Drosophila melanogaster: one gene and its partners. Changing the gene in region 1 together with any one later gene gives a genetic interaction. Each region holds a gene or a part of one and is shown on either strand. Other genes may lie near its edges.

Evidence for each region.
Region 2: of mtrm (region 1) and grau, changing one suppresses a phenotype caused by changing the other (phenotypic suppression), as found in Drosophila melanogaster (one study listed by BioGRID).
Region 3: of mtrm (region 1) and BubR1, changing one enhances a phenotype caused by changing the other (phenotypic enhancement), as found in Drosophila melanogaster (one study listed by BioGRID).

The regions. Positions count from the first base shown.
Region 1 is NT_037436.4:8,408,450-8,416,508, forward strand, and holds mtrm (matrimony), read left to right. Parts: upstream 1-4,562; 5' UTR 4,563-4,625; coding exon 4,626-5,279; 3' UTR 5,280-5,654; downstream 5,655-8,059. Other genes in the region: Oseg1 (outer segment 1), read right to left, coding at 1-4, 62-209, 263-537, 596-1,078, 1,140-2,594, 2,666-2,896, 2,980-3,044; Exo70 (exocyst 70), read left to right, coding at 3,512-3,559, 3,613-3,778, 3,849-4,360, 5,769-5,833, 5,896-6,626, 6,686-7,008, 7,078-7,211, 7,267-7,369; CG32354 (uncharacterized protein), read right to left, coding at 7,531-8,059. UniProt on the Drosophila melanogaster protein: Polo kinase inhibitor required to maintain G2 arrest in the meiotic cell cycle in females. Holds heterochromatically paired homologs together from the end of pachytene until metaphase I.
Region 2 is NT_033778.4:21,007,576-21,016,969, forward strand, and holds grau (grauzone), read right to left. Parts: upstream 4,347-9,394; 5' UTR 4,271-4,346; coding exon 4,148-4,270; intron 4,071-4,147; coding exon 3,304-4,070; intron 3,242-3,303; coding exon 3,032-3,241; intron 2,970-3,031; coding exon 2,594-2,969; intron 2,531-2,593; coding exon 2,294-2,530; 3' UTR 2,189-2,293; downstream 1-2,188. Other genes in the region: CG30291 (uncharacterized protein), read right to left, coding at 227-732, 787-1,629, 1,681-1,855, 1,918-1,923; CG9346 (uncharacterized protein), read left to right, coding at 4,471-4,527, 4,587-4,703, 4,760-5,046, 5,104-5,522, 5,583-5,764, 5,827-5,870, 5,938-6,270, 6,338-6,580 and 4 more; Sou (souji), read right to left, coding at 8,327-9,394.
Region 3 is NT_033778.4:5,966,074-5,978,740, forward strand, and holds BubR1 (Bub1-related kinase), read right to left. Parts: upstream 8,313-12,667; 5' UTR 8,211-8,312; coding exon 7,884-8,210; intron 7,821-7,883; coding exon 7,425-7,820; intron 7,049-7,424; coding exon 4,085-7,048; intron 3,923-4,084; coding exon 3,675-3,922; intron 3,615-3,674; coding exon 3,167-3,614; 3' UTR 3,026-3,166; downstream 1-3,025. Other genes in the region: CG7881 (uncharacterized protein), read right to left, coding at 618-636; mle (maleless), read right to left, coding at 9,117-11,395, 11,914-12,604.

The DNA of each region.
Region 1 (8,059 bases):
TTCTCTATAAAACAAAAGTTTTAGAAATTAAGAAGTGCACTGATTGTAATATTTCACTTACTCCTTGGCGTGATATACATCTAAATGTTGCTTGGCCAGCAGCCAATAAAAGTAGCTCGCATCCAAGTAGCGCTCCTCCACGATGGCCGTATTGCTCAGTTGCTTAAGCAAACGATTGGCTTCCTTGGTGCGTCCTGCCTTTATGTAGGCTGAAAAGTAAAACTTTTATATTAAATAAACATAACAAAAGTTATAAACTCACCCTGATGCGCCTCTATAAACTGATCCGTTTCGGCCAGCCATTGCCCATGCTGGTAGTGCACCGTGGGCAGAAGTTCCGGCAGCGATTCCGCCAAACGAAATGCTTCCGGCCAGTCGCGTACCTCGATGTGCAGTTGCACCACCTGGGCTTCATCGCCCAGCTTCTTGAAAATCTCAGCAGCCAGGGGAAGAGCTTTGAGGGTCTTTAGGTTCTGGGCCACCGATTCCAGGGAATCGCGTTCCGTAAGACTCAGTCGTCGTCCGATATCGTAAAGCCTGTAAGAAGTTAGGTTTATTATAAACGATATGTGTGCAATTTTCTTGATTTCCTTACACATCGGCCCATCCTTGCTCTGCGACAATATCAATGGCCTTCTGATTTTCGCCAGCTGAAAGCAATAGTTCCGCAGCAGCTCGTGGCTCCTTAACCGAATATGCCCATTCCGCTCGCTTGCGTACCAGTTCCTTCTTCTCCTGGTCGGTGCCGTCCTTAATATACTCCTGGGCTAAATCGAACATACGTAGATCTGTGTACATTTCAAGTGCTCTTGAGGACTGGCCGCATTTGAGAAATAGACGAGCTGCCTCCTTGAACTTGCCGGCAAAGGCGCAATTCTCTGCGAGAAGTACCTCCTTAGGAACCGCCGATCGCTGTTGCTGATCTCGTAGCTCACCGATGAGTTTGAGCCACGGAAGATTCCTCACCTTGACGTAGGCATCGCGAGCGATATTTATGTGCAGTGCCTCCAGAGCGGATTGAGCTAATCCCTCCCAGTCGCTGGTGGTCACGCCCAGGCAGGCGACCTGGTAGGCTTCGCTGAAATAAAATATAACATCTTTTATTAGGAGATTCCAAGCAGAATTGGAATATGTCTTACTCAAACAATCCAGCTTCGATGAACTGCCACATGGTGGAACCGAGAGCCAAAGGCGTATTGTGCATAATATTTCCGCGCAGGCAGAAGGCAGTGGCTCCGCAAAGCCCCACCACCACGCCATGCATGTTCTGTGGTGCCCTCGGCGGCAGATTCCCCACGCGAACGCTTAATCCGCCTGTTGTGTGGGTATAGCAGAGCATCGAATCCAGGTGCGTGTTCCAAGTGACGCTGTTTACACCCGTATCCTGGTACAAAATTGTATCGTTGATTACGTCCCGCACAACCAAGCGACCCACATCGTCCACAACTGCGATCTTGCTGCGCTTCGAATTGATATCCAGGCAGCGAACCGCTGACACCGCAGTGGTGATGAGCAGTGGTAGTGAGTTGTTGAGAAAGATTCGGAACACTTGGCCGTTCTTCAAGCCCACCATTAGTCCTTCTCTTCCCACGGGGCCACCGGTGACTTTGATGTATCTTATGAACGAGTCCATGATCCACTCGCGCTGCAGGACACCCATGAAATCCAGACATTGGAGACGCTTCTCCTGGCACAGGACAATGTGACGGCCACAAACAACCAGCAAGCTGCAGTCGAACTTTTGCTGGATCTTCTCGCGCACTTTATAGTGCATGGGTTGATCCTCTCCAGAGCTCAGCTCATAGAGAACCACACGTTCCGGCAACTGAACCGCCAGTCGATTCCGATAAATGGCTATTTTCTGAACTAAATCTCGACACTTGATGCGCACCTTTTGGCCAGAGATCAGGTGCTGAATGATCACGTCGCACATGTTTTCCCGGAAGGCATAGCGCTCGCGGTAGAGGGCATGCACGGTACTAGACGCAATGTTGAAGCAGGCCAGGGTTCCATCTTGACACCCAATGGTGTAGGATTGACCATTGGGATGTAGGGCAACTGTCCAGATCCAGGTGTCAAAGGTATCGCCCAACGTACCCAGCCGAATGCCCTCCCTGGTGAAGAAGTGTAGACCTCCAGTGCAGCCGCCCACCAGGCAGAACTCCCCATTGGGAAAGTACTGCAGGCACAAGGGATCAAAGCCCAGGGTTCGCTCCTTGCCAATCATCTGGCCGCTCAGAGTGTGAAAGGATAGCGTTTGGCTCCAGTCCACCACACCGATGGTGTCCACACTGCCAGGACCGCTGGCCGGACAACATTGGACACTGAAGACGTTGCTGTTGGGCCCACCAGGCCGATCGATTCTCCCCTTCTCCTCGCCCAACTTGTTCCTAATGGATATGGTGCCATTGGCCAGGCCCAGGATCAGGTACTGTCCATCATTGGTCCACGAGCAGCCATTGACACGCGCGGATATCTTGTACTTTTGCACCGCCTTCTGATCAGCCGACCAAAAGGCAAAATCCGACAAGGAGCACGAGGCCAGGTGGTGCGAAACAGGATTGAAGCTCATGCACTGTATGGAGTCACCGTGCCTATGAATGTAAATATATTTTTATATTTATATAAAAAACTAGAATTTATTGCAAGTGTGCTGAGAACTCACGAATACTTGAGCAGTCCCTCAAGCTGAGGTGACCACACGATGACCATTTTATCGGAGGCTCCGCTGGCGAACCGCTTGCCATCCCGCGAGTAGGCCACACAATTGACCGTATCCTTGTGCGCCTTCAAGGTGTTCAGCAAGGAGCCATCGTTTGGATCGTAGATGAGCAACCGATCCCCCGCAGCCACCACCAATTGGCTGCCATCGGGTGCGTAGCACACATTGTGGACACTGGAAAATTGGGTTTTGCAAATACCGTTATGGCGTTATAGCAAGCAACAGGTTGTTGTTTTCCACGAATGAGAAAGCTTTACCTGATCTCATTGTCTTTGCTATTGGGAAACTCTATGCGTTCCAGCCACTTGAGAACACCCCTCATTGTTGCAGAAGTCGAATTGGCTAATCCTGCATAGTTGGTAGAAATTCCTAAATGCAGGTGCGTTGTTTACACACAGATTCCATGGCAACCAACCACAACAAAAGTTGGCGTCTTGGCTGGAGATGGCAGTTTGGCGGGTTTTTCCGTTAGTTTTGGCTTTTAAAACTAGGACTTGACTAATAAACTAGTACTAGTAGTAAAAACAATTTATTTAAAACATAGCCTCATTATCGTTTACCTAATTGTCTAAGTGTACAATATTTAAAAAAAGTTTCTATTACTATCTGAAATGACCGTTATAATTTTTTTTTTCGTGCAAAGTAGTTGGCAACGCGGTAATTGACAGTATGACCAAAGCCAGTGTGCATAAATGCCTAGTTTCGTCAAAACAAAATAAAATAGAATTGTTTTTTATATCAGAACTATTGTTTGTTTTTAAAGGATTTTAGCTACATATACGCTTGAAAATGAACAATTTGGACAGTTCATTGCAGGCGCACAATAAATTGGAGAAGGTATGTCTAGTTGTCATGCTCAAAACCTCCATACTTACCCATTTTCCTCATAGGAAGCCACCAATTTAGCTCTGCTGAAAGATCGAGTGGATAAATACCATGATCTGTCCACGCAAATGTCCAGTATTCTAACAATCTTCGAGAAGCGCCTGGGAAACCTGGAGCAGACCATATTGCCCGTCTACCAGGAGACGGAGCAGCTCCAGAAACGGCAGCAGAGTATGAAAATAAACTCAATGGGATTTCAAAAAAAAAAAACTAATGTGTCACCGCCTCTTTTTTTTTTTAGATCTGGAAGCTACTCTCAATTGTCTGGAAAGCGTCCTGTCCCACTACGATGTCTCCCAAGAGGTCTGCCAGTTGATTCATCAAGGCCCGGTGGAGGGAAACATCTCGGTGTTCCTCGACGCACTAGCCAAACTGCGCGATGCCAACGATTACTTCCGGCACAACAATTCCCAGAGCGTGGAGCTGGAGAATGTCACCAGTTTGTTTAACACCGGCTGCGAAGGCCTGAGTCAGCACTATAGTATGCTCCTCAAGAAGCACAGTGCTCCGCTGAAGCCGGTGGAGTTGCTGGATCTTATCTACATAGAGGACGATTCCAGCGATGAATACACCTCATTCCGGCAGCTTTCGCAAACGACGCGCGAGGAGCTGTACACCATATCGCACTGGTTGGAGCAAAATTTAAGGGAGTACACAAACATCTACGCGACGGAACGGGGCGAAGTGGTTCTCCGATCGCTGCAGCTGCTCAAGGATCACCAAAAGAGCAACAGTTGGGGTCACGAGGCTCTGGTGAGTAAACAGTTCTTTCATATTCTAACTAGTATTAATACATATATATTATGTGGAGAAAAATAGTACGTAGTAGAATATGAATAGCGATGTGTACGATGATGAGCATATGTATGCTTTTCCCATCTCTGATCGTTTCGGTTAACGGTGTCTGTTCGAAAAAGCTTGTGCATGTAAGCATTACATGTCCAATTCGATGACCGCCATTTGCCAGCTTGAATTCGCAAAGAACGCATCATTTTCTGTGTCACAGTATCTAAAAAAAATGGAGAATTCTCGCACGCCCACGAACAAGACCAAAATTACGCTTAATCGCACGCCAACGCTAAAGGAGCGCAGATGGAACACCCTGAAGGTGAACACCTCCAACGTGCGATGCTCTACTCCGATCTTTGGCAACTTCCGTTCGCCCAATCTCTCGCCCATCGAGAATATGGGCACGAAGGGGAAGAGTCCAGTGTCGCCCATGCGGTTCGCTACCTTCAAGAAAGTGCCAACGAAGGTGCATCCCAAGCAGCAGCAGCAGCAGCAGCATCAGCACTGCCATCGCACTCAGCTTAAGCCCCCGCCATTCGTGCTGCCCAAGCCGCAGGAGGAGATCATCGAGCCGGAGCGAGAAATAAAGAGCTGCAGCAGCCCGGATACCTGTTCGGATGACTCGAATATGGAGACCTCACTGGCCTTGGAGTCGCGTCGTCGTTCCATCAAAGCATCGAACCACTCGTACGTGGTTAACCATGCCGCCAATGTGGAACAGATTCTCATGCACATGGGCCTGGAGAACTATGTGACCAATTTCGAAGAGGCTCACATCGATCTGGTGGAACTGGCATCCTTGGAGCGTGCTGATCTTGTTAAAATCGGCCTAAATACCGATGAGGATTGCAACCGTATCATGGATGTGCTCCACACTCTTTAAGTGAATCGCTGGCATGTCCATCTTTTATCATACACTAAGATTTTAAAATGTTTTATGTGAAGAGAAACTTTGTGATTTTAATATATGTGGATAATTAAGTAGGTATTCTAGAATTATTGTAAAAGACCTGGTGTCTTAAAGCTCGTCGTTTTTAGCCTTAAATAATAAACTCTAGTACACTTTAAGAATCTATGTAATTCCTAAAATGTTGCTCCGAAGCTCATTTACAAATTTAAATTTATTTCGTAAGCTAGCAAATTGCATAATACTTTTTGTCAAAAAAAAAAAAAAAAATTGGGGTATAAACGCTTTTGTAAAACACACATTTTTAAAATTAATAAACTCATAAGAATCAAATGCATATTAAAAGGTTACAAAAATAAGAGTTTTTAATTTGCTACCATTTTAGTACCTTAATTATTCCGAAGAAACATTAATGCAATGGCAATTAACAATTCAAATTAATGTTTTTAAAATGTTTTCTTGCAGAGACCGCGACACAGTGGACGCCAAACGGAGCCAAAAAAGACAACCTCCGCTCGTCTTCAGCAAATGTGAGAAATATTACTTAATTTCCAAGTTTTCGTATATGATATATTTAATTTATTCTGCATAGATTCGAAAAGAAGGCGAACAAGTTATATTTACGCGCGACGCAGACGATTGAGCAGTCCACAGGGTTCTCCATTAAGAAGGCATCATCGCACAGCGACCACCTGACCTCCGAGGATTTGATGGATGGCGATCAGGAACTGGACAAGTATCTGGTCATGTTGCTGGGACTGCAGCGGTTACTTAACTGGGAGCGAGCCATCATGATCGACATTATTCCCCAGTCGAAACACAACGAGGTATTCGCCACCTTGGCCTATAATGCCATCGATCTGGTGGTTAAGGACGCTGAGGCCATTACGCAACGCATCCTGCGCTGCATTTCCCGCAAGGAGTGGACCTCGGCGTTGGGAATATTCTCCGCCCTAAAGCGGGTTATACTGCTGCAGCCGGATATTGACCGCACATACGATCCTGCGCAAAGGGAACAGTTGAAAAAAGTACTAAAAAAGTTGCAGCACACCGGTGCCAAGGCATTGGAGCATTTCCTGGACGTAGTCAAGGGCGAATCGAGCACCAATATTGTGGGCCAAAGCAATGTTCCAAAGGATGCCACCGTGCACGAGCTGACCTCCAATACGATCTGGTTTATTGAGCACTTGTACGATCATTTCGATGTTATTGGTTCCATTTTGGCACAGGATGTCCTGTACTCCACGCAATTGGACACCATTTTGATGAAGAAGGCGCTGCCAGTCGAGGAACGCAATAAGGCGCTCTTGGCGATTTACATAAGTGAGTGGCAACAAGATCAATTGTGCGAACATTTTTAAACCACTATCTATATTTTGCAGAGAAAGCTTTGGCCGAACTGAATCTTTCCATAATGAACAAGTGCGAGCAGTACAATGACCAGGCCACCAAGCACCTCTTCCGACTAAATAACATTCACTATATCCTCAAGTCGCTGCAACGCTCCAATCTTATTGATTTGGTCACCTTGGCTGAGCCTGAGTGCGAACATAGCTACATGGAGATGATACGTGAACTGAAGGCTAGCTATCAAAAGACCTGGTCCAAGATGCTGGTCGGCATCTATTCCTTGGATGAACTGCCCAAACCAGTGGCCGGCAAGGTCAAGGATAAGGATCGCAGTGTGCTCAAAGAGAGATTTTCTGTAGGTTTTTATTTTTAAAATAAGCTAAACTTTCTTGATTTAAAAAAAAACATCCTCTATAATTTCCAGAACTTCAATAAGGACTTTGAGGAGGCATGCAAAATCCAGCGGGGCATCTCCATACCCGATGTGATCCTGCGAGAAGGCATCAAACGTGATAATGTGGAGCACATACTGCCCATCTACAATAGATTCTACGAAATGTAAGCGTATATAGGGTTTATCAGCTTATACCTAACCATCTTGTATCATTTTTAGTTACTCTGGAGTGCATTTTAGTAAGAATCCCGACAAATACGTCAAGTACAGACAGCACGAGATCAACGCTATGCTGAGCAAGCTCTTTGATGATTCGGCTTAGATGTTAAATGCAGGCCAGGCTTTAAGTGCATTCCTTGTAAGTTCGTTGGGGGGCTTTAATTCAAACTCAATAAATATCGTTTTAAAAAAAGTACAATACAAGACTATAGCCTACAAATATTAAATGCCAAGTGAAATGAAGACGCCACGCATACATACGTCCTAGTAAAGGAAGTTAGTGGATGGTGCTTCGGGGCGGCCACAGGCGCCGTAGTAGTTGACGTTCACCGTCTGGTTCGCCCTGCAGTTTTCGATCTCCAGGAAGCAGTCGTTCAGATACGTTTTATTGTCGCTGCCGCAAACAGGCTCGAATTCCCTGGGACAGATGCGGGCACATCCTTTAAGCTGAAAGGCGGCAAGGCAGCGCTTCAGTGGCACCACGAAAACATGCTTGCCACAATTCTCCTTGCGCATGTGGCACTCGGACTTGTACAAGTTGTTGTCCGATCCGCAGACGAAACTTGGCGGCTGGGCATCACAATCCGATTCGCAGTCGGCGGTTAAAGCGCAATTCTTTAGCGAAACGGGCACCACACGCAGATCGCAAGTGCGCCGCTTGAACTCGCACATGGAGGCGAAGGTGTTGCCATCCGAGCCGCACACTGGCTGCTGTTCCAGATCCGCCCGAGTACAGGCATCCCCGCAATCCTTGGTGGGCGAATTGAGATCCGTGCAGGGACCAATGTGGGCC
Region 2 (9,394 bases), on another chromosome or scaffold:
AAAAATGAAATCAACAAACTTCACTAAAATTAGGTTTGTATTCTGGATACAAAAAAAAAAAAAGAGAGAAGCAAAATGGCAATTAAAAGAAAGAACACAATATAAATAAAATTTGTATATTTAATAAAAATAGCAAAATAAAAATAAACTTCTTTTAAAAAATTTACAAAACCATCTTTGTCCATTTACCAGTTTATTTTTAACAAACAGCCATAAAAAAGTTACATTAGTTAACACCCCCCATCAAGTTAACCACCCGGTTCTTGTACCGCTTGGATATATCCTTCTCGATGTGAGACTGCAGCGTGCGAGTCTGAGCAATCAGCTCCTCCAGCACGGGATTCAGGTCCTGCCGCTGCTCCCGCAGCTCGATGGTCAACTGCTTGAGCGCCTCTCGCGTGGCGCGCAGCTTCTCCACGGCCTTTGTCATTTGCTGCAGCTTGGTGGCCAGCATATTGGCATACTTTGGGGAGTGCTTCAGCTGGAAGAGGTGCTGCGTCTGCTTGTCGGATGTCTGCTGGATTATTTTCTCCACGGACACGAGTATCTTCCAGATGCTCTCACCGTCGTGGGTGGCAATGTTGTCCATCAGCGAGAACATGATGTCGCTGGAGGATTCAAGCTGCTTGAGCTCGTAGATACGCATGCGTAGAAAGGATTCCAGTTCGTAGATTTCGTCCAGGAAGCGATCGCGATAGTTGGGTGAGTCCAGCAAAGTGTAGGCCTGATCGCCTGGAACAACAAACCATTAACCATCATAAAATCGAGTATAATAAAAGAACTTACCCTTGGCAGTGCCGCCATCCATGCCGGTGCCCTCCACCACGATGCCGTACTCCTCGACGGGAATGTCAAAATTGATTTCCACCGCATCGGTGGGTGCACTCTCAATGCCCCAGTCGATGTTGCCGCCGTCGCTTTCCGGCAAATCCCCGCTGCCGAAGTCCCCGTAGTCGATAATCTCAGCCGAAACGGTCGACGAAGTTCCGCCGTTGTCATCCGTTCCGAAGTCAATCTCGGCCACAGCATTGTCATCCTTGCTGGCGTTGCCCTCGCTGAGATTTAGCCGAATGGGCGGCTCCTCGACGGCCAAGGGTGCTTCCTTGTGGATGTACTGGTACACGGTGGTGTTGCCAAACTCCACCAGGTGGTTCAGGATAGGCAGCACTTGCTTGTTGCCGCTGACCTCCGCATACAGGTCGATGCCCGGCTGAATATTGGCAATGCCCACCAGCGACTTATCGTATAGTTCCGGTAGACCAGATAGAACCTGGACGAACTCGGCATGCAGATTGTCGCCCTTGACGCCCAGTTGCTCCAGCAAAGCCGAGTGGTCGGCCAGGATTTGGCTCTCGGGCTTGTTCAGATCGTGCGCTCGCTTCTGGGTCTCGTCCGCCTGCTGCTCCAGCCTGGCCATCTGCTTTCGCACTCCGGGAATCTCGTAGTTCACATTGCGCACGAAAATCTGAGCCGTTTCGGCCAGGTAGGTGGCATTCTTTTCGTACAGGCGGCTAATCTCTTGCCAGTCCTTCATGCGCTGGCTGCCGTAGGTGCCGAACACGCTCTTGGTGTCCTTCTCCGTCTGCTTGAGGATCTCAATGATCTCCTTCACATGGTAGTAGTTGATATCTGCAAGTGGGACACATTAGTGGGATGGCATTCTGGGCACTGGGCACCTACTTGTCCGGGCCAACAGCTTGATCAGCTGCTCATTGGAGGGCATGTCCTGCAGGGCGTTGCTAATCTTCCTGTGGATCTCCCTAAGCTCCTGCTGCACATTCTTGGGCACAATTCTGCGGCTGATCAGCCAGTCCTGCAGCTTCAGCGTGTGTATGTCGATGGGGATCTCGGACTCCTGCTCAAATAAAATGCTGATGAGCGAAATATTCCCAAAGATTTCGTTAATAAAGTGCTTACATTCATTTTAATTAAATGTTTGTCCACGCAGACTGTTTTCTATTATTTTAGCAGCTGGCAGTGTGACCAGTCTACTGTAATAAACAAAGCGGATACTTCAACCATCATACCTTTTTTTTCCAATTGAAAAATTCAAGACATTCACACTGTAAATTTTTTAAATTCAAAAACAATATTTCTGAATGTAGCTAAATGAAACATTTAAATTCAAAAAACTTAATTAAAATGTAAATAGCCAAAAATCCCACCAATATGACAACAAACCGCTCGTACTTTCAAATAATTCCTATTATACATATATTTTGTTTTCAAACAAAGGTCAATCAAAAACTAAGCAATGGTTTCCGCAAATCGATTTCCTTAAGCATTTCCGGGCCTAACCCGAATAGTCATTGGCAATAGCTGCGACATCGGCATCGTCCCGGAACATTTGCGCCACTTGGGCGCTGGGCAGGACCTTCTGTGAGCTACCGGTCTTCGTCTTTCGCCAGATGTCCCACTCCACCGGATGCATTTTCTTCTTGTGGGAGTGCATGTTGGCGTTGGAGTTGAAGGTGCGGGGACAGAAGGGACACTTGTAGAGTGGCTCGCCAGTGTGCTGCGCCATATGCTCCTGCAAACATCAATCGCTTTAATACAACACATAAATAAATAAGGGTAATATGTATTATCCAACCTTAAGGCTGATGTCCTTCTTGAAGGTTTTGCCACACTGCTCGCAGGTGTAGATCACATTCGAGTGGGAGTAGCGCTTATGACCAATCAGCGCGCGGGAGTTCTTGCAGCTCTTGCCACACTCTGAGCAGATAAACAGCTTGCCCTCGTCGTTGTGGCGCCTCAAATGCTGCTTAAGATTGTCCTCGTCCTTCAGCCAGCTCTCGCAGTCAGGACGCGGGCACTTGATCCGTGGTCCGCTCTCCTCGAAGTGCAGGCGAACGTGCTTTTCGAAGACAGCCTTGTCCTTGATCTTCTTGCCGCACACATGGCAGATATTGGCCGCCTTGCGGTGCTGCATGCTGATATGGACCTGCATGTGGTACTCCGTGGCAAAACTGTGGTGTGAAAGGAGAACGATAAGCATTGGAAACACTGCCGTTTAGCTGGCGAGGCTCACGCATTGTGTTTGGGGCACTGCGGGCAGATGAACTTGCGCTCATTTACGGGCACATGGGAGCCCTTGTGCAGTTCGAGCAGGTTGCGTCGCGAGAAGCGTTTGCCGCAGTCCTCGCACTGGAAGTCGCACTCCTCGTCTGGAACATGGTGGACCAGCCAGTGGGCACGCAATACGCTGGAATTGGCGAACACCTTTCCGCAGTCCTTGCATCTGTCGGAAAGGAAAGCTAATTATCAAATCGCTTCGAATTGGTTTGGGTAAGAGAGACCCACTTGATGTACTCGGGATTCTCATGCCTCCTCGCATGCTCCTGGATGAGGCAGCGCTTGTTGAGCTTGCGTCCGCAGCACTTGATGTAGGGCCGCTCGTCCGGATGCTTGTCCTTGAAGTGCTCGCGGATGCCGTCGAAGTCCTCGGCCAAGAATATGCACAGCTCGCAGCCCATGACTATGTAGCGCTTGATCAGTTCCTCGTCCTCTTTGCAAAACGGCGGCAGGCGTTCCATCTTGAATATCCTCTTGGGCGGTCCCCGCTTGACCACCATCTTCTCCTTCCCCTTTCTGCCCACCGACACCGTTCCTCTTTTCGTTTTAGCCGGCTTGGCCACGTCCCGTTTACGTTTGCGTCCACTCCGGGTCACGATCAGGTCGTCGGTGTCATCATCCTCGTCGTCCTCGTAGTCCTCATCCTGTTCATTGTTGGCATCCTCAAAGAGGAGTTCCATGTCGGGTGACTGTCGCTCTGTTTTGATGCCCACCTTGCTGTCTTCCGGGGACATGGGTTGGCTAAGGTCTAACTCGTCCAGGGGATTCACATTTATCTGCGCACCGACATCGTTGTCGACGGCAAGGACGTCGGCCGGCATGAGCACCTCCTCCGGCCAGGAGGTGTTCACCATCTCCGGATCCTGCTTGAACTTGGAGGTGGTGGCGTATATCACCTGGGCCTCCTGTATGGACACGTAGAACTGATGGAACTCGGACACCTGCGTCCAGCAGACGTTGCAAATAACCTTGGATATCTCGTCGTTGGGCAGTACCTGTACGCGTTCCGGAGACGAGATGGTGGTAAAAAAAGATTCCCAGGCACAAAAGTGGGTGGAGGGCAGCAGCTTACCTCGAACCAGAAATGTTGGCGCAGCACCTCCGCCACCTTGCTCTCGCCCGAGTCCACATCGAAGATCTGTAGACACATCTGGGCGCCGCTCACTCCGCGTAAACAGAGGCGGCAGATATCCATTTCGCATTTATTTGATAAAACTATAATAAAAAGTAGTCATTTACATAGCTCTGTCGATAACTCCCATCGCAACTATCGGCTGCATCGTGATTTGTTCGCTGTTCATTCTGTGCACTGGTTGTACGACGTCGGTCACACTGGCAAATTGTTGGTTTTCCTATTTTCGTATTTGCTGATAATGTGCATATTGTGTGGAAAAGATGAGTAAACAAGGGAATAAAAGCAAGGATTCGGCTGCCGCATCCGCCACTTTAAAAGTAAAGGTGTCCTGTGTAGCCGGAAAAACGAGCCTAACATTTTTCGGTCTTGTTTTCAGCGGATAAGCGAAAAGAAGTTGGAGGCCTTCACGGTGGGCACCTTCTCCAAACGACAATTGTCCAAAAAAGAGCTCGAGGACCAGAAAAAAAAGGAGGATGCAGCTGCTGCGGCACATGTAGGCGCCTCTAGCAAATCCCTCCTCCACGCATTATAATCCAATACGATTTTTAGGCCTTCAAAGAGTTCGTAGAGACTTTCCAAGATGCACCCACCCCCTCCTCGAAAGTTTGGGTCAAAGCCGGCACCTATGATGCAGGATCCCGGCGGGAGGACAAGTCGGAGAAGGGCAAGCTATACAAGCCGGTCTCCAAGCTGATGGAAAAGAGCTCCTCGGACAAGGTCGAGGATTACGCCAAGACCCTGGCCTCGGATCTCAAAAAGGACTCGGGTCCATTGAAGAAGAAAAACCAGGAGAAGAAAAAGAGCAACTTGGAGCTGTTCAAGGAGGAATTGAGACAGTAGGCCCACTTGGTTGTGCATGTGTGTATTCCATACTAATTGTTTCATGCCCACAGGATTCAAGAGGAGCGTGAGGAGCGCCACAAGTACAAGCACATGGCCTCAAGCCATTCCGCACCAGCACAGCAACCGGCTGCATCAGCTGCTCCTGTGCCCAGCAGCAGTGTCTCCACCACCTCCCAGAACTCAAGCAGCTCAAAGGAGTCTGGTTCGTTTGACACGGGCGATCCAAATACCACAAACCTGTACCTGGGCAACCTGAACCCCAAGATATCCGAGCAGCAGCTTATGGAAATCTTTGGGCGATACGGTCCCTTGGCCAGTATCAAGATCATGTGGCCCCGCTCCGAAGAGGAGAAGCAAAGGGGACGCAATTGCGGCTTTGTGGCCTACATGAGCCGCAAGGATGCGGAAAGGGCCCTAAAGACACTGAACGGGCGCTACATCATGGGCTACGAGATGCGTCTAGGATGGGGTAATCTATAGATCTTATATTGAAGTTCTTATTCCTCATACATCTTACTTAATATTTCAGGAAAGACTGTGCCCATAATGAATACGCCCATTTTTACACCGCAAGCATTGCTTGAGATGACCCTGCCTCCGCCTCCTTCAGGATTGCCCTTCAATGCCCAACCTCCACCCAGTGAAGCTGATGTGCTGCCCAAGAAAAACTACAAGGAGTTCAACCAAGAGGACAAAGAGAATATGGAGCGGGTAAGTGAATAATCACCTGCTAGCGTCTAAAGAAATAAAAATGAAAATGTTCAATTTTGTAGATACTTGCCAAATGCGTCGTTAAAGTCCATATACCCACAGAGAAGTATGAATTGCACCAAGGACATTCACTTAACAAGAACTCACGTTACTGTGCTTTTCTTTTTTTCCAGGGCTGTTCTTAATGTTATCCATCGGATGATCGAGTTTGTAATACGCGAGGGACCGATGTTTGAGGCTTTGATCATGATTCGGGAAATGGAGAATCCGCTCTTTGCGTTCCTCTTCGACAACGAGAGTCCTGCCCACATCTACTACCGATGGAAGCTGTTCTCTTTGCTACAGGGCGATACGCCCAATGAATGGCGGGAGGAGGAATTCCGTATGTTTAAAAACGGACCGGTTTGGAAGCCCCCGATTGCCAACTTCTACACTCAAGGCATGCCAGATGAGCTGGTTGTTGATCCCGATGCTCCTGTGGTGCACAAAGGAGCCTTGTCCAATGCGTACGTTTAGCATAGATAATCCTCGAAACATAAATGTTTACTGTACTGTAAATGTATACTGAAATAGGCAACGCAACCGACTCGAGGATTTGATTAGGCACTTAACTCCTGAACGCGCCCGCATTGGAGATGCCATGATCTTCTGCATTGAGCACGCAGATGCGGCTGATGAAATCTGCGAGTGCATCGCCGAGTCTCTGTCAAATATCAATACATTGGCTTCAAAGAAGATTGCTCGACTTTATCTGATCTCAGATATACTGCACAACTGCACTGTTAAAGTTGCGAATGCTTCGTTCTTCCGTAAATCGTATGTATATATGTTTATCAAAGCATACACATTGAAATATCCCCTATTATTTAGTGTGGAAAAACAATTGTTGGACATCTTTGATAACCTGCATAACTACTACTTGAACATCGAGAGTAGATTGAAAGCTGAGGGCTTTAAATCCAGAGTCTGCAATGTTATCCGCACATGGGAGGAATGGACCATTTATCCCAAGGATTTTATGGCCCAGCTGACGGCCAAATTCTTGGGCAAACCTGTTAGTTAATGAAATTCATTTCAAATTGTGCATGTAGTCTAATGGAATCTTGTGTTTAGTACGTCAAGCCAGTCAATAACTCACCTCAAGCCGAGGAAACGCGATTTGATGAGGCTCTGGACGAAGATATCGACGGTGCGCCCCTTTCCGGAGAGGAAAAGGACGACGAGGATCTAGACGGAGTGCCACTAGATGGAGCTGCTTTGCTTAAGAGCGCCTTGAAGCGAGCCATACCTGATGCAGATGCTGGTACTCCAAAGCGTGACACACCTAAGAAAGATGAATACCTCGATGAAATCGATGGCATACCATGTAAGCATAAGAAAGTGATTTAAACCTTCTTACTACTAAGTAAATAATCCTTAATTCCAGTGGATGATGATCTCGACGGTGTACCGTTGGAAAAAGAAACCAAATCTACGGCTAAGTTGCCTGGCTTCATACCCTCAAAGTGGGAGACAGTTGATCCCCAGCAAGTAGAAGCGCAGGCGATTACCACCAGCAAATGGGACACTCTCGATCCGCCAGATCCACCGAAGTTCTTTAGCTCGGACGACGACAGTGGAGAAGACAATCCGCAAAAGTACACCGACGAGATGCGTCAGAAGTTAAGAGACATTGAGTCGAAAGCAATTCAGTACCAGGACGAACTGGAGTCCGGAAAGCGCCGCCTGGAACCAGGTTGGAGTGTCCCCGAACAAGTGGAACAATTCCGGAAGCGATTACTTAAACAGGTAAGATTTGTAACATACAGTAAGTCGGATGTAACAACTGAATTCTTTGCGAACGAACAGGACTCGCGATCTGAGGCAACTGTAGACTCCCCGCTCAGCTACATGCACATAAAATCCAAGAGCTCCAAGGTGAGTGAGAGTCCAGCGCTGTTCAGAAGCAGTTCCCGCAAACGATCCCACTCGCCGTTCTCTGGTGGCGAATCCAAACGACGTGACTATTCACCCGAAACCTCGCGCTCATCCAAATCCTCGAAACGCAATCGGTCGCGTAGTCCGTCCAGTTCACCGAAGCGGTATACAGAGCGGTCGTCTCGCAGCTCCCGCTACGAAACTCCTGCCTCCGGATCGTCGCGATCACGCAGTTCTCCAACCTCCTCGCGCTCCTCTCGCAGAGAAGAGCCATCGCCGCCGAGACATCGCAGCGACAAGCACAAGCACAAACATAGGCACTAGAGTGTCTGCTCTTCGGACGATTTGTATTTAATTAAACATGGATTCTACATAAAAACACTTTCGTCGTTTGTTTTAAATACACAGTATATATAATTTTAAATCTAAATCGTTTGTTAGGAAGTGGGACACACGCAAAACAGACGGCCCAGGCAGTTCGATTCCGCTCTGCGAATTTGTCTAAAAACATGAATCTAAGCAAGCTATCTTAAAATGGTTACGTTTTGTTAAGGAAAGCCGGCCAACCAACACCAGTCCTCGAACCGCCTGAGCCTGGTCATATAAGCAGTGGTGATTATCATAAGGTGAATACATAGATGTGGCTTAAAAGTAGATGCGAACAGCCTCCTCGGCATTCTGCTCCACGGGGCAGTAGGGGCACTTCAGTATGTGGCCAACACTCAGCTTGTGCAGGGCGTCGTTGGATATGACATGACCGCAGGTCAACTTCTTCGGCGGATTGTCCTCGGAAGTCTGCTGGCGCAATATGGGGCAGGCAAAGATCGAGTGGAATCGGAATTCCGGCTGCAGATCGATCTCAATGGGCAACTCGTCGCAGCCGTTCCACATGCCAAGGACTTGGCGCGACTGCATCACCTGCTTGATATTGAGCAAGGCGGGCAGGGCAGTGCATCCGGCATTGACCACAACAGACAGGGCGGAGTTCTTGCTAATGCCTAGCAGTTGGCATGCGTCTTTGAGGAATATGAACGACAGTTCGGTCCACTTCTCCTGGCCCAAGAAGTGCTTGTAAGGCGAGTTCTCCAGTCCACTGGGCAGATATATAAAGCTGGCCATCAAGTTGGCTATTTCGTGCTCATAGCGCACAGCAAACTTCTTGAAGTTCAGTCGAGCGTAGGAGATGGCCTCGCGCTGCGAGTCCAATCCGTAGGAGACCAGCTGCATGAAACGCATGCGGTGCAGCCGGAACTCTATGAGCGAGTGGCGGTCACTCAGCTGCTGGGAGTACATCTTTGCCCACTTGAGGGCGTCAGTCAGATCCCGCTTTTGGATCTTCACCCAAATGCCGTAGATGTCGGCAAACTCGCGCTCCGAGTCGAACACATCCTGGGCATGCTCCGGCGACATCTTGCACTCGCGGATTAGCGTGCGAGCCACATCGTCCATGCCCTGGCGACAATAATGCTTGGCAATGGCCTTGTTCAGCAACATCAGGTTCTCCTCGTCCTGCAGCACGTCCACTCGCATGGTGGACGAGAAGTCGGCGCTAAAGTTGCGGTCAATGGCCTTGCCGATCTTCGAAATGGAGCCGTGCAGATCGCGGTGCTCCGTGGACAGTTTTTGCACGCGCTCGTGGCACCTGGCGAGAGCATTCCGGACGCTCTCCACTTGGCGCTCGGTTAGGCGTTGTGGTGCCGTCGGTTCCGTCTC
Region 3 (12,667 bases), on another chromosome or scaffold:
GGTTGAGATTCAGCACACAGATTCTGGAAACATAGACGCATGTCGACACGCCCCCTCTAACGCCCAAAAACCGCACAAAACTGCCACTTTTGTGCTATTTTTCCACATTTATTAGTCTTGTAAATTTCTATAGATTTTCCAAAAAAAAACTTTTTGCTACGCCCGCTCTAACGCCATAACCCTTCAAACCGGTCACGCCCACACTTTTAAGCAATATTTAAATATCCCACAAAAATTATGAACTTTCGCGTTTGCCTTTACACTAGCTGAGTAATGGGTATGTGATAGTCAGGAAATTCGACAATATCATTCCCTTTTGTATTTTGGCTTATCATGTAATACAGTTTTCTTAAACCATAATATTAACAAACTACTTTCAAGAAATACATATGTATGTTTATGGCTGAACAAAGTACATACATATATCATTTTTGGACCAGTTCGCTGAGTACATGTATTTATGTATTTATCCGTATATCTACATACATATATGGATTTGAAATCCATATATAAACTGTAATGTAAAATTACGATTTTGTTTCCGTACTAGGCAACAACTTTCGTTCGTTAAGAAGCTATATTAATCGTCACTACTGTTTGTTTATTCAATAATTTACCTTTTTCGTTGTCCCTCATTCTGTTGACGCAGTTTATTACTTGAATACTTAGAAAATGTCCAACGGAAGAAAAAATCGCCTCTTGCTACATAAGTTTTTAAAAAAAATAGTTAAGCCGTCAGCAAAACACTCACTTCCCACCGCGTCGATAGCTAAAATGTGTCTGAGCGTATCATTTAAAGCTCTGCCCACCATATAGCGTATATGACTGCAATTAGACATCAAGATTGGGTCTTTGGCTAATAAGTTTTATCAAAGTACCGATTACCCAAAGCGATAGCTGGATGCTACCTGCCGCATTCCAAACTTGATACTGTCTACCGACTACTTTTATAAGCAAACATTCATGATATAAACATTCAATCACACGCACTCCCTTTTCGCCAGTCATCTAGTAAGCGGTGGGACTTTTTGTGTAAAAACTCACAATCGTTCATTAGCCAAAATTCTGCTAGACCAGATCGCTTAGTTTCAAAAAGAGAAAGCGGTTTATGTGGACTCAATTCAAGAGATACTCTGTTATATGAGAATATACATATGTTATTCATTTAAGCAAATAGATAAGTCTTCAACAGACAATTACAAATGAAAACCTGCTAACTAATAAATCCTGTAAAATGTTATCGAAATGACTATTCAGTAAATAATATTCAAATATAATCAATGAAAGTCTAGACCTATGACATCATTGCGCACAAGTATAATTAACCAAGCAATTTACACCAATTACAAAAATGTATAGTCATGAGAAAATTATTTTCTGTAATTATTACATGTATGTATATTTCAATTTATTAATTTGCCACGGAGGTGCATTCAGATAGCCTGCTGAGTTCATCATCTTCGATGTGATGTCCTTGCAAGTCCAACTAAAACAACAAGGACAATGATTTAATGTTCAAGTCAATAAGCTTAAAGACGCTGTTTTATTATGCCGTAACACATCTACATAGGAATTTTTGCTGGTGAATGTTTTGCTGGTCATTACATTTGAAACTACCAAAACATTCTATATTCCGTCGCTAATTCTTTGTGTTCATTATCGCTCTTGTTTACATTTAAATGTTAGAGATAGTGGTGTTCAGTGTTGTTAGATGTCGATAGTTATCGATGTTGTAAGCTGTGACATTGGGAATATTCCGTCTGCACTAGCACTGCCAAAGAAAAATTATGTTAATCGATAGCAGTAGTTTGAATTTTTAAAGTGAACTAGAATTTGAGAACTAGTCCGAATGTTAAAGGATTGTTGGTCCAAATCCATTGTAACTTGCTTGACACACTAGCGCTGCTTAATCTCAACCTTCTAGTTCCTCAGATCTCGACGTTCATACGGACAGACAAGGCCAGATCGATTCGATTGATCCTGATCAGGAATATTTATTTATTATGATAGATAGAATAGTTTACAAAACTAGACTAACTTAAATAGTATAGCATTGGCTACAGGACCTACAGCTATATTGGTTTACAATGCAATTATATCTTAATCTAGTTAATATTAAATTTGCTAAATAGTTGCTGTGCTTGTTAAGTACATTTTTCCGTTTTATTTTTAGATTTTGTGGTATAATTTAATTTTTTAATTTATATACTTTATATGGTCCAAAACGTTTCCGTCTATCTGTTACATACGTTTCAACGAGTCTAGTATATAAACATTGAAAATAAACACTTTAATTTTTTCATTATAAATCATTTTTTATTATTAGCAATCACATCATTTTTTTTAACAAATACCGAGATTTGAAAGATCGAGTATCTGCGCATATAGACCACTTTTAATAAAGAGAATAACATCGTTGCCAATTTATGCATTTTTGCACTTGTGTGACATATTAAATGATTATATTATTTAAATTGAATAGTGTCGCTATCAATACATATGTATACACATACATAATTAATGGAAAAAAATGTAAGATATGTCGCCAAAAATAAAATTTGACATGTCCTTGCATAATAAGATGAATAAGATTTTGTGTGGAATACACAAACGACTGCCAAACGAGTCCGCGATTCATAAGCACCTACCGCAATCATTGCAATTAAAAGAAATGATCTCGTTTCCCTAAGATTGATAAACCAAGTTTCATGGCATCTAGTGAGAAGATATTCTGCTGCCGTCATTAATACATATGTATATGGCAGCGTCTCCCAGCTGAAAGATGAGGGGCAACGAATGGAGGATTCAAAAATCGTTGTTTCTTCGCCGAATAAAAGGGTATTTGAGATTCGTTGAAAAGTATGCAACAGTCAGAATTACGCGTTTCCAACGTAACTAAATTTATATTCTTGATCAAGGTAAACAGTCGAGTCGATATAACCATGACCCATGATGCACATTCTAGAATAGCCAGTGTTTTATTAGTTAAGTGCCACGGTTTCAAAACAGTCACACACACACTTTTAAAAAACCTTTTCTTTTTATTTTAAATTTTAAAACAGAATAGTTGCGTATTACTTATAGCAACCATTAACCAGTTAACAAGAACGTGTTAAGGTATGCAATGTGAATATGTTTATATTACTATGTTTGCACAAGAAGACAGCTATTTCTGCAATATCGTGTTAAACTTGCTGATTGCCTCGGCAACATATTTTTCCTTTTCGGCCAACGCACATTTAAGCTGCGTACGCAGTTGCTGCAGATTAGGCATGGTGCGACAATCTCTAATGTTAAGCAGAGTGCGGAAGATGTTTTCCCACATTGTGCGCTGAAAGTAGCGTGGCACGTTTGTTTTCGGCATCCAAATCGTGCTCGGAGACCGCTGCACTACTTCCATATAGCGGCCGAAAAGCAGCACATGCATAACGCTTACGAGACCATATAAATCCAATTGGTAAGTCCATGGGCGTCCCGTTCTCATCTCAATGCACTTGAATAGGTCATCATGATGAACATAGTTGAATGTCTGATTGTCCGGAAACAGCTTCATGTCAATAGACACACCGAAATCAATAAGCTGCAGGCTGACTTCGTTGGGATCCGCACATATCCTGAAACAGAAAAAACCTGTGATATTATTGGTGTTGACGAAGAAGCTTTCTGGTTATTACGGTTTCATAAGTAGAAAGTTATCCGGCTTGATGTCGGCGTGGATTATACCCATGGCGTGCAGGTGATCCACAATATCGAGCATTTGGCAACTCAGATGCATTACCACATACTCGTCCATATTCCTGTTAGTGACACTCTTAACCTTGTTGCATACACCGATCAGAGAACCATAGTCTGAAAACTCTGAGATGTATACACTGGAATTATTTCCTACCAGTGCATAGTCAATATGTGCATAGGATGGAATCTGTAAAAGAATTTGCATTCGGTTAATTCGTGTCATGTGACAAGTATTAATAATTATCCCTCTATATGATATGAATAGGTAATATTCTAGGATAATAAACTTGGAATAAAAACTATTTGAAAAATCGGATTTAATGTCCATATATTATTAGTTATGCCTTACCATTTGCTCACTAGTTAGCCGGCTGTGAATCTCTAGACAAATGTAGAACTCCCAGTAGTTAGTGGGCCGTTCCTGCTTGAGCGCGACCTTCTTGCCAGATTTCAGATGCTTTCCTACATAAACCGAGCCATAAGCCCCCTTTCCTATCATTTTAGACACCTCAAACTTTTCGTTGTGCACTTCCAGGTGGGTGTTAGGATGTAGGCGCTTAACGTGTCCAACCAGTTGACAATGGGGCAGCTTTTCGATGTACATAGAAAAGTCAATTGATTCGAGTAGCGAGCTGATCAGTTCTACATTGAAAGGGTTTTTATTAGCGTCTGCCAGCGTTTCGTTCAAAACAGTTTGATCTCCGTTTGAGGTGGGGTGAACAAAGTTTTCCCGCGGAGGAGTTTCTAAATCAGACTGCGACCAGGAACGGTGCGATTGCTTCGGCGTCAGTGGAGTTGTCTTATAGTAGATGCTTAGTTCCGACGCCTCTGCTACCTTTGCGTTAGGGATCAGCAGTGTGGAATTTTTTATCATACTGATATTTGTTGCAAACATTTCAGTAGCTGCGTTAAGCTCGAAAAACTCGTCAGGTTGTTTTGAAATACCGACATTTTCATTCACAGGGGCTTTCCTTGACGATTCTGACATGGAATCGTTGGAAAATTTGATCTTATTCGATGTGCTTGAAATATTCGTTTTGACAACGGAAGCCGGCATCTGTGAAGGACAGCTGCCTATTTCTGTGCAATCTTTCATAAACGAGGCAATCATATGGGAGTGCCCAATATTTTCCTGTTGAGTCCCTGGCTCCTTAATTGCCACCTGTTGCGTTTCGGGCAGCGTGCAGTCTAAGTCAAAGCTGGAGACCATTAAAGCTACTGGTTTTGACTTAGTGAGCTTTGGCTGCGTGTCGTCCAGAAAAATATCAAACTTCTGTATCGCCCCTGATTTTGCTACAGCTTCAGGCTGCGTTTCGGGCACAAAGGAAAGGTCGCACATAAAGGAATCCTGCAGATTGCTGATGCTGGGCGCAGCCTCCAGTTTGTTGCCAGTCACTGCGAAGGATCTCCGATCGCCCTGTGTCGATTTAAAAAGCTGTGAAGTTGGATCGAAATTGCGCTTCGGAGAGCCAAAAATATTTGTTTTCGGCGGTGTCTTTCCAAACAATCCACACAAATCGCTTTCATCCTCCAAAGTGGGAAGTTGCGGTGCGGAAAAACAATTTTCAGCTCCCAGTGAGCCATGATCCATAGAATTCTCCGGCAGTGCGATCGGCATTTGTGGGAGTGTTTCAGTTTTATCTTCCTGAAAGCAAGCAAGAGGTCTTGGGATAGTCTCTGTCTTATCCTCTTGGAAGCGCAACGACTTAAGCATAGGCACGCTAGGCGCATTGGGCTCCCATAACTCACGGCGCAAAAAGTTGTCACCACCCGGTTTTTCCGGCTCGGAAAGGACTGCTGATACACCAGCACTTATCACGCGCTGCAGACGCATTTGTCCAGGAGTGTTCTCTTCAATCTTGCTGCCTAGTTTAGAAACAGCATTGGATCCGGGTGAAGACGTGGAGGTAATAGTGGATTTAGTGGTGGTACCGCTCGTCGCCAAGCTTTGTGTGCCGTGCTCAGAGGTTTCCAATATGGTAGATAGTTGCTTTCGCAAAGTTGGAGAACGAGTCTCCACTGGAGATTCGACGGAATGAGCAGCCTCCTCTGGTAGCGGTAGTTCTTTGAGCACGGTTCCAAATTGACGTGACGGAGCCTGTTTCTGTGTTCCCTTAGGAGTGCTTACTGCCTGCGACTTTATGAACATGTTGAACATTTGCGTGGAGCAGGTCTCATCTCCGTCATAAAACGGCCTTGTTTTTGGAGTTGGCTGCGGCTCTTCAGAGTCTTCATAGATCTCTATTTTCGGAACAGGAACGGCCGGTACAGCAAAATTGTCACGTGGAGAACCGGAATCCTCAAATATTTTAATTTTTGGCTCATCTATTTGATCGCACGGCGATTCAGGTATCTTAGGTGCCACCTGAGAAGGTATATCTTTTACAATCAAAGTGGCTTCATCCTCTTTCTTTTCATCCTCCTCCTGCACAGACGAAACTCTGCGTGGCATGATGGATTTTCTGAAGGAAGAGGGAAAGAAGCTCTTGCGGCGTGGCATCTTGTTTCCGGGCAAGCAAACGGTTTCTTCCATGTCAAAGTCACCATGAACTGTCACATTTCGTTTTTCCATCCATTTAGCTGCCAACAACTCCTCTGGCTGGTACTCCTTTTGCTCAACTTCGTTGTAAATTTTGTCAAAAACTACCTGAAGGCCCGGTACCAGTGGGGGTTTCCAAAACTTGTCTAGCTCATCGAGATCTTGTGGCTTAGAATATCTGGCGAAATTCGGATAGCAGCGAATTCCTCTGATCACCCGTCCAGTGCCCCACCAATCATCATTGCGATGGATAAATGGATGCTGTGGGTTGCGATGCTTCAAAAAGGAATAGGCTCGATACTCTTCGGGCGAGAACTCGATGTTGGGGCGGGGGTAGAGGAGACACTTGTTATAGCAAGGCAGTCCACTTGCGTTTGGCTCGTCCTCAATAGTAACTGGCGTCACCCACGGTTCCTGAGGCCTGTTCTTGGCCACAAAGTTTGTCGGAAATCTAAATGGTTGTTCTAGACGACGCTCGTAGTTTGTAATAGGTGGCATTGCTTGTTCGTCAACGTGTATATCAAAGCCCAGATCCGGCGAGGCGTTACTGCCGAAAATTTTTCCATGTTTGTGGCGTTTAGCATTTGCCTTATTCCAGGCCACCGGTTCTTTTATATTCTCCTGACTGCAAGCCGAGTCGATAATGGATCGCAGGCTTGACTTCACCTCCGTCTCAGAATTAGAGATCGGAATATTTCCCTCAGAATTTTCGTCATTAAACACCTCAACGTTCCGACCTACATTGCGCCTACTGGTGGTGGTTGAAGGCTCGACCTGCAGAATGACAATGTATATTTTTAAAGAAATTTTATTCGATTTAAACCTTTTTTATTACTACTGTATATTGATATAAAAGCTTAGGTGGATTTAAAATCCCTTAGAAAAAATCGAGCTTAACGGCGGGATCTCCAAAAAGTTGGACAGGTTCACCCTAAGCCGTTTAATAAAATACAAATACAAATTAAGGTAAGGTGCACCTGATAGTCAAGGAAACCGACTCGTTCTCTATCGTTCTCTGTTGTTTCTGAATTCTAGAGAAGATAGTCATTAAACATGCATCAAACATAAGTTATAAAAGCAAAATTATACTTGAAACCGATTTCTCTAGCCAACCAAGTTCTTTGTAAACATGAAATAAAAAATCACCCACCTGAACCACGCCTGGGAGGCCGCTTTTAACTGCTGCTCCGGTACGGATGCTGCCCACGGTGATGCTGTTAGAGATCTGCTGCCGGCGACCATGAAGTGATTGCAGTGCTAGCCGTCGCTCGTTAAGTTCCTGGTTTACTGCGTTGGCCTCTTCACCAGTGCTGTAGAGCATGCGCTGGCCCACCGTATAGCCAAAGTGGTGGTGGGCCTCCTTCAGATCCTCTAAGGGCTCTGCGCGGCACTCTAGACCTAAGCGAAAGATCTCGTCGGCCTTGCGCATGTTACCGCTCAGGTCGTAGCTGTAGGCCCAAGCAATGTAGAAATCTGCCAGCATTGTTCCGATCCCGTTGTTGTACATCTGCTGATAAAACTCGATCTTGTCCTTCTGTTTCTCCATCTAAAAAGTGACGAAGTAAAATCGGTGGTTGAGTGATCGTTTAAAATATCATCGGCTACTCACGAATTTAATGAAAAGCTTTATAAGCCGCTTGTCCTGACGGTAGCGCTCGTCGTCTTCAAATTTGGTGAGGCACTGGTGTAGGACAGTCTGCAGACCGGAGCCACTGCCCCCCGCCGGATAGCTCTGCTCGATCCAGCAGATGAACGTGTACCAGGCACCGAGAGGATCCGCGCCTTTGTAGGTGCGCACCTCCTCCTCCATTTGCTTGCGTTGTGCCAGCAGTTCCTGGCCGTGGGTGGAGTCCTGGCTAAGAGAAGCCTGCAGAAGGCTCACATTGCGACCGCTGGCCAGCGGCTGAATGTTCTCTTTCGCATTGTCAAAGTCCATATCGTTCTCCTCAAGCAAATGACCTGAAACTTTTGGTTGTCTTGTATCGGTTAAACAAAAACTACGCGCCGAAGCAAATGCTAGAGATGAATGATACTACGCTCTTTCGATATTTTTAATTGTGTCGTATCGATACTTCGATTGAAAAACTGTTCTCACTGAAGCCGAAATACATACGATAAAAATTGAATTGCTTAGCAACACAACGTCATCACTGACCACCACTTTTAATTGGTAACGAAGCTCACCATCTTGACCAGTAAAAAAGAAGCGTAAGAACAGCTTACTCCAGTTACTATTACATTTCTGGTGCTCCTCAAATCTTTGTGATCTAATATTTATTTGATCAACTTTCATTATTGCTTCGAAAATTATGATATTTTAAAATCACCGCCATATCTGTACAATAATTAATTTTTCTTTTCCCTTCGAGTTTTGATAAGGCACGAAATATGTTTTGCATATATATGGCTTTTTATTGTATATATTGTTGTCATGACATATGTTTTAAAAAGGTCTAATTGCGAAATCAGTAATCGTCTAAAATGCTAGCAGAGATAAAAAATAATGATTACACAGGTTCACCAAAAGCCTTTATAGAATGAATGTTTTTGATCTCATTTTGTGACAATAAACGATTTCCACGCCTTCACAAACGAAATTCCAGCAATATATGTATGTATGCAACAGGTTAGGGAATGTCAGCGGAACTATCATATTTGGTTACTATTTACATACGTTAACTCGTGAATCTATTCGGATCGCACATGCGTATTTAATGCCAAAAAACCAAAAGATTCAATGCGTCTTATTTGTATAATCCCTTCAGCATATCGAAATGCGAATAGTAATGTTTATTATTCTTTTTGTTTTTGAAAAAACCAATACATTTTTTTTATGTATCCGTTAAAAGTTACCCCAGCGGCCGCCTTGGTCGCCATTTCTAAAGCCGCCGCCTGATCCTCTATTGCTTTCAAATGAGTCTCCAAATCCACCTCTCTTGTTCCCATATCCTCCGCCATTGTTTCCATATCCTCCACCATTATTTCTATAACCTCCGCCATTATTTCCATATCCACCATTATTTCCATAACCTCCTGCATTATTTCCATATCCTCCTCCAATATTTCCATATCCTCCTCCATTATTTCCATATCCTCCTCCATTATTTCCATATCCTCCTCCAAAAGTTCTGCCGTTTCCACGGCGACCAAAGCTGCTGTTAGTAAAGCGTCCTGTCTCAAAGCGACCTCGTTTGGGCGGTCCTCCGCCGTCACTGAACTGACGTGATTGGTGCGGCAGAATTCCTGATTCACGCTGCAGTCCGAAGTCTCCGGCGCTCTTAACGCAAAGGTCTTTGACCACTTTGACCAGCTGTGCATAGGGCTCCTCAAGGCGAAGTATGTCGGAAGGGTTGTCGCACGCCACCGTGATAAGATCCTCCAGGGCCGGCTTAAGGGCACCAATCTTGGCCGCAAGTTCCGGCTCTATGTCGAAGTTAAGCCAGTTGTCAACGCGCACTATATTGTTGGCGGCCAAGTCAATCTTGCGCGATCCAAACAATATCACCTGCAAGGGCGAGACCATAGATAGTTGCTTGCAGGAAACAGCTCGCGTGCGAATCTTCTCGCCGAAAACGAAGAACGGATACGGAAATGTGACGGCCAAGTTGCTGCAATTCACCGAGGTTTTGTGCAGTAACGCTGCTTTAGACTCTGTAGTCAGCACTTTGCGCTTCTCCTTGTGCACGCAAATGTTGGGGTAGAGACCCAAGCACAGCAGCGCCAGGGACACATCCAGCACGGGGTCATCCCCATCAATCCTTTCGTCTACCTCGTGCGATATCATACACTCTTCTGGGAATCCTGCCTGCTGAAGGAGATCCAGTAACTGCTGCTTGGCATCCCAGATAACGTTCATAGTACTCATTTGCAGTCCTTTCCAGTCACAGAACCGAGCTTCCATATGCTCACCGCGTTGTTTCTCGCGCCGCCACATTTGTGAAGCTACAATCATTGCCACGTGGTCGGAACATTTGGTACCACTCAACGCTTTCTGATGATTTGCCAGGCGACGTTGACCTATATCAAGACTAAACACCTCTGAGAAGGTGCTAGAGTACGAAGCCATAATGGCCATTAGATCGGCGCAGCCAAATACTGCGCCGAGGACCATCATCTTTCCAAGTCTTGGTTCAATTGGGAGGCGTGCCAGCAGGCGCCCCAATGGAGTAAGTTCATCGTTAGCGTCAAGGCAGCGCATCTCGCGAAGCAACACCTCAGCTTCGATTACTGCGTCTACCGGAGGTGGCTCCAATGCCTTTGACAAAAAGTGGTGAATGGAGCCCAGTCTGAGTAATTTAATGGTCAACGCCATCTCGTGCAACGGTGTGCGGAACATCTCCGGCGTAAGATTGTCCTCTAGCGCTTGGAAGCGGGCACGCGAACAGAGTGTGAAGCAGAAGCCTGGTCGGACACGTCCAGCTCGGCCCTTGCGCTGCTCCAAATTGGTTTTGCTTGCCCAAACGGTGGCGTAGCTGGTTAGGTTGTTATGTGAAGTAAAGAGCTTCATGCGCGCCTTACATATATCAATTACGAAAACAATGTCGTCAATAGTTATAGAAGTCTCTGCAATGTTGGTAGAAAGTATAATCTTGGTTACGCCTTCTGGAACAGGCTCGAAAACCTTGCGTTGCTCGTCTCGTGGAATCTGCGAGTGGCACGGCAAAATTTGGTATTGGGATGTATCACCAAAAATGTTTGTATTTTGCAGAAACTTCATAAGCGCAAAGATCAGGTTCCAACCGGGCAGGAATACTAAGATAGCACCGGGAATATTTTTTGACTTAATATGCATCAATAATGCCTCCAGCAGCTCAAAGCTAACGTCCGATTCGGATAGCATGGCCATAGCATTTCGAGTCTTTTGTGAATACTTGTCCTCGCACACCTTGTTATAGTTGATTTCCGCCTCGTCCTTGTCCTCGGAAAGCAATTGCTCCTCGTCCTCCACTTCCTTGCGCTTTCGGCGCGACTCCGCCGAAGGCACAAAGTCTGTCATCTGAATAATGTCCTCCAAGAAAAATTGCTGCACGGGAAATGCTCTTCCGGGTACTTCCAATACGGGACAGATGCCAAAATATTTGGAAAATTTCGTTGTATCAATAGTGGCCGACATAAGAATAACTGCAATAGAAGAGTTTCTATTAATTATAGTGTTTTCTAAAAGTCATATCATATTAAATTAGGACTAGAAATGTATGACCCGTAATGCATATAAGTTTTAAGTTCTGAATAGTAATTTTGTTGGGCATAAGTAATTTTGGCAAGTCAACTCTACATTAAATATGAAACACAAACAATTGGCAATGCAAATTTTCAATGGAACAAACTGACAAATCGACTATTAAGAACATAACATATACACTCTGGGCGGATCCGGTACAAACAATATAATCATAATCTTCATTAATTAAGCCAGTGAATTAGTGCAAAATAAGTTATTTTCGCGGCTCAAAATCTGCTCAACATTGCTTTTTATACATGTAAATGTATGTATATATACAATACATATATACAAATGTATGTATATATAAATATATAAGTATAATCAACAATTGTCGAAGAGTTTCACCCCAAGAAATTTGAATGCAGGTTATACATACGGATTTATGTTAGAAATATTGCACCTTATTCGAGCTTACCATGCAGGTCCGGATATGTGTCGACCATGTCGCGAAGGATGACCAGCAAAAAGTCGCTGTTCACGTCTCTCTCGTGGATTTCGTCCACAATAATATGCGACACTCCTCGTAAGCCAGCCTCCAGCTTGCGCAGCAACACACCCACGGTGCAAAAGAGGATTGCGCCGTAGGGTCGTGGAAACACAGACTCAAATCGCACCGAGTAGCCTACAGTGTCGCCCAATTGCTCGCACCGCTCGCGAGCTACGCGCTCGGCCACAGAAATGGCTGAAATGCGACGAGGCTGGGTCACATAAATATTAGCGTACCCGCCCTGGCCGGAGCAGATGTAGTCATCAAGAATGTATTGGGCAATCTGGGTAGTCTTTCCGCACCCTGTGTTTCCACGAATGATTACCACTGGATTGTCATTAATTGCGGTTAAAATTTCCGACCGCATCGCTGCAATGGGCAGCTTTTCGCGGAACTCGAGGAATTGTCGGTACTCGTTGTCGTTTTGGCGGCGATCACGCAGCGAGCGTTCGTAGTCCATCGAAAGGTCATCAATAGAGGTGGTTGCCAGTTCGCCTTCGTCGATGTTGCAGGCATGCCACGTATTCCAGTTTGCCTGAGGAGGAGCCCACGGAATCACGGAGCTTTCCTGACGTTTTTCGCCATCCTGTTGCGAGGAATCTATACGGCTTAAGTTCACCTAGGAGAAAATATTTTACATCGTACACTACATTTTTTGTTCGCAAAAAAAAGGTGGTTTGGG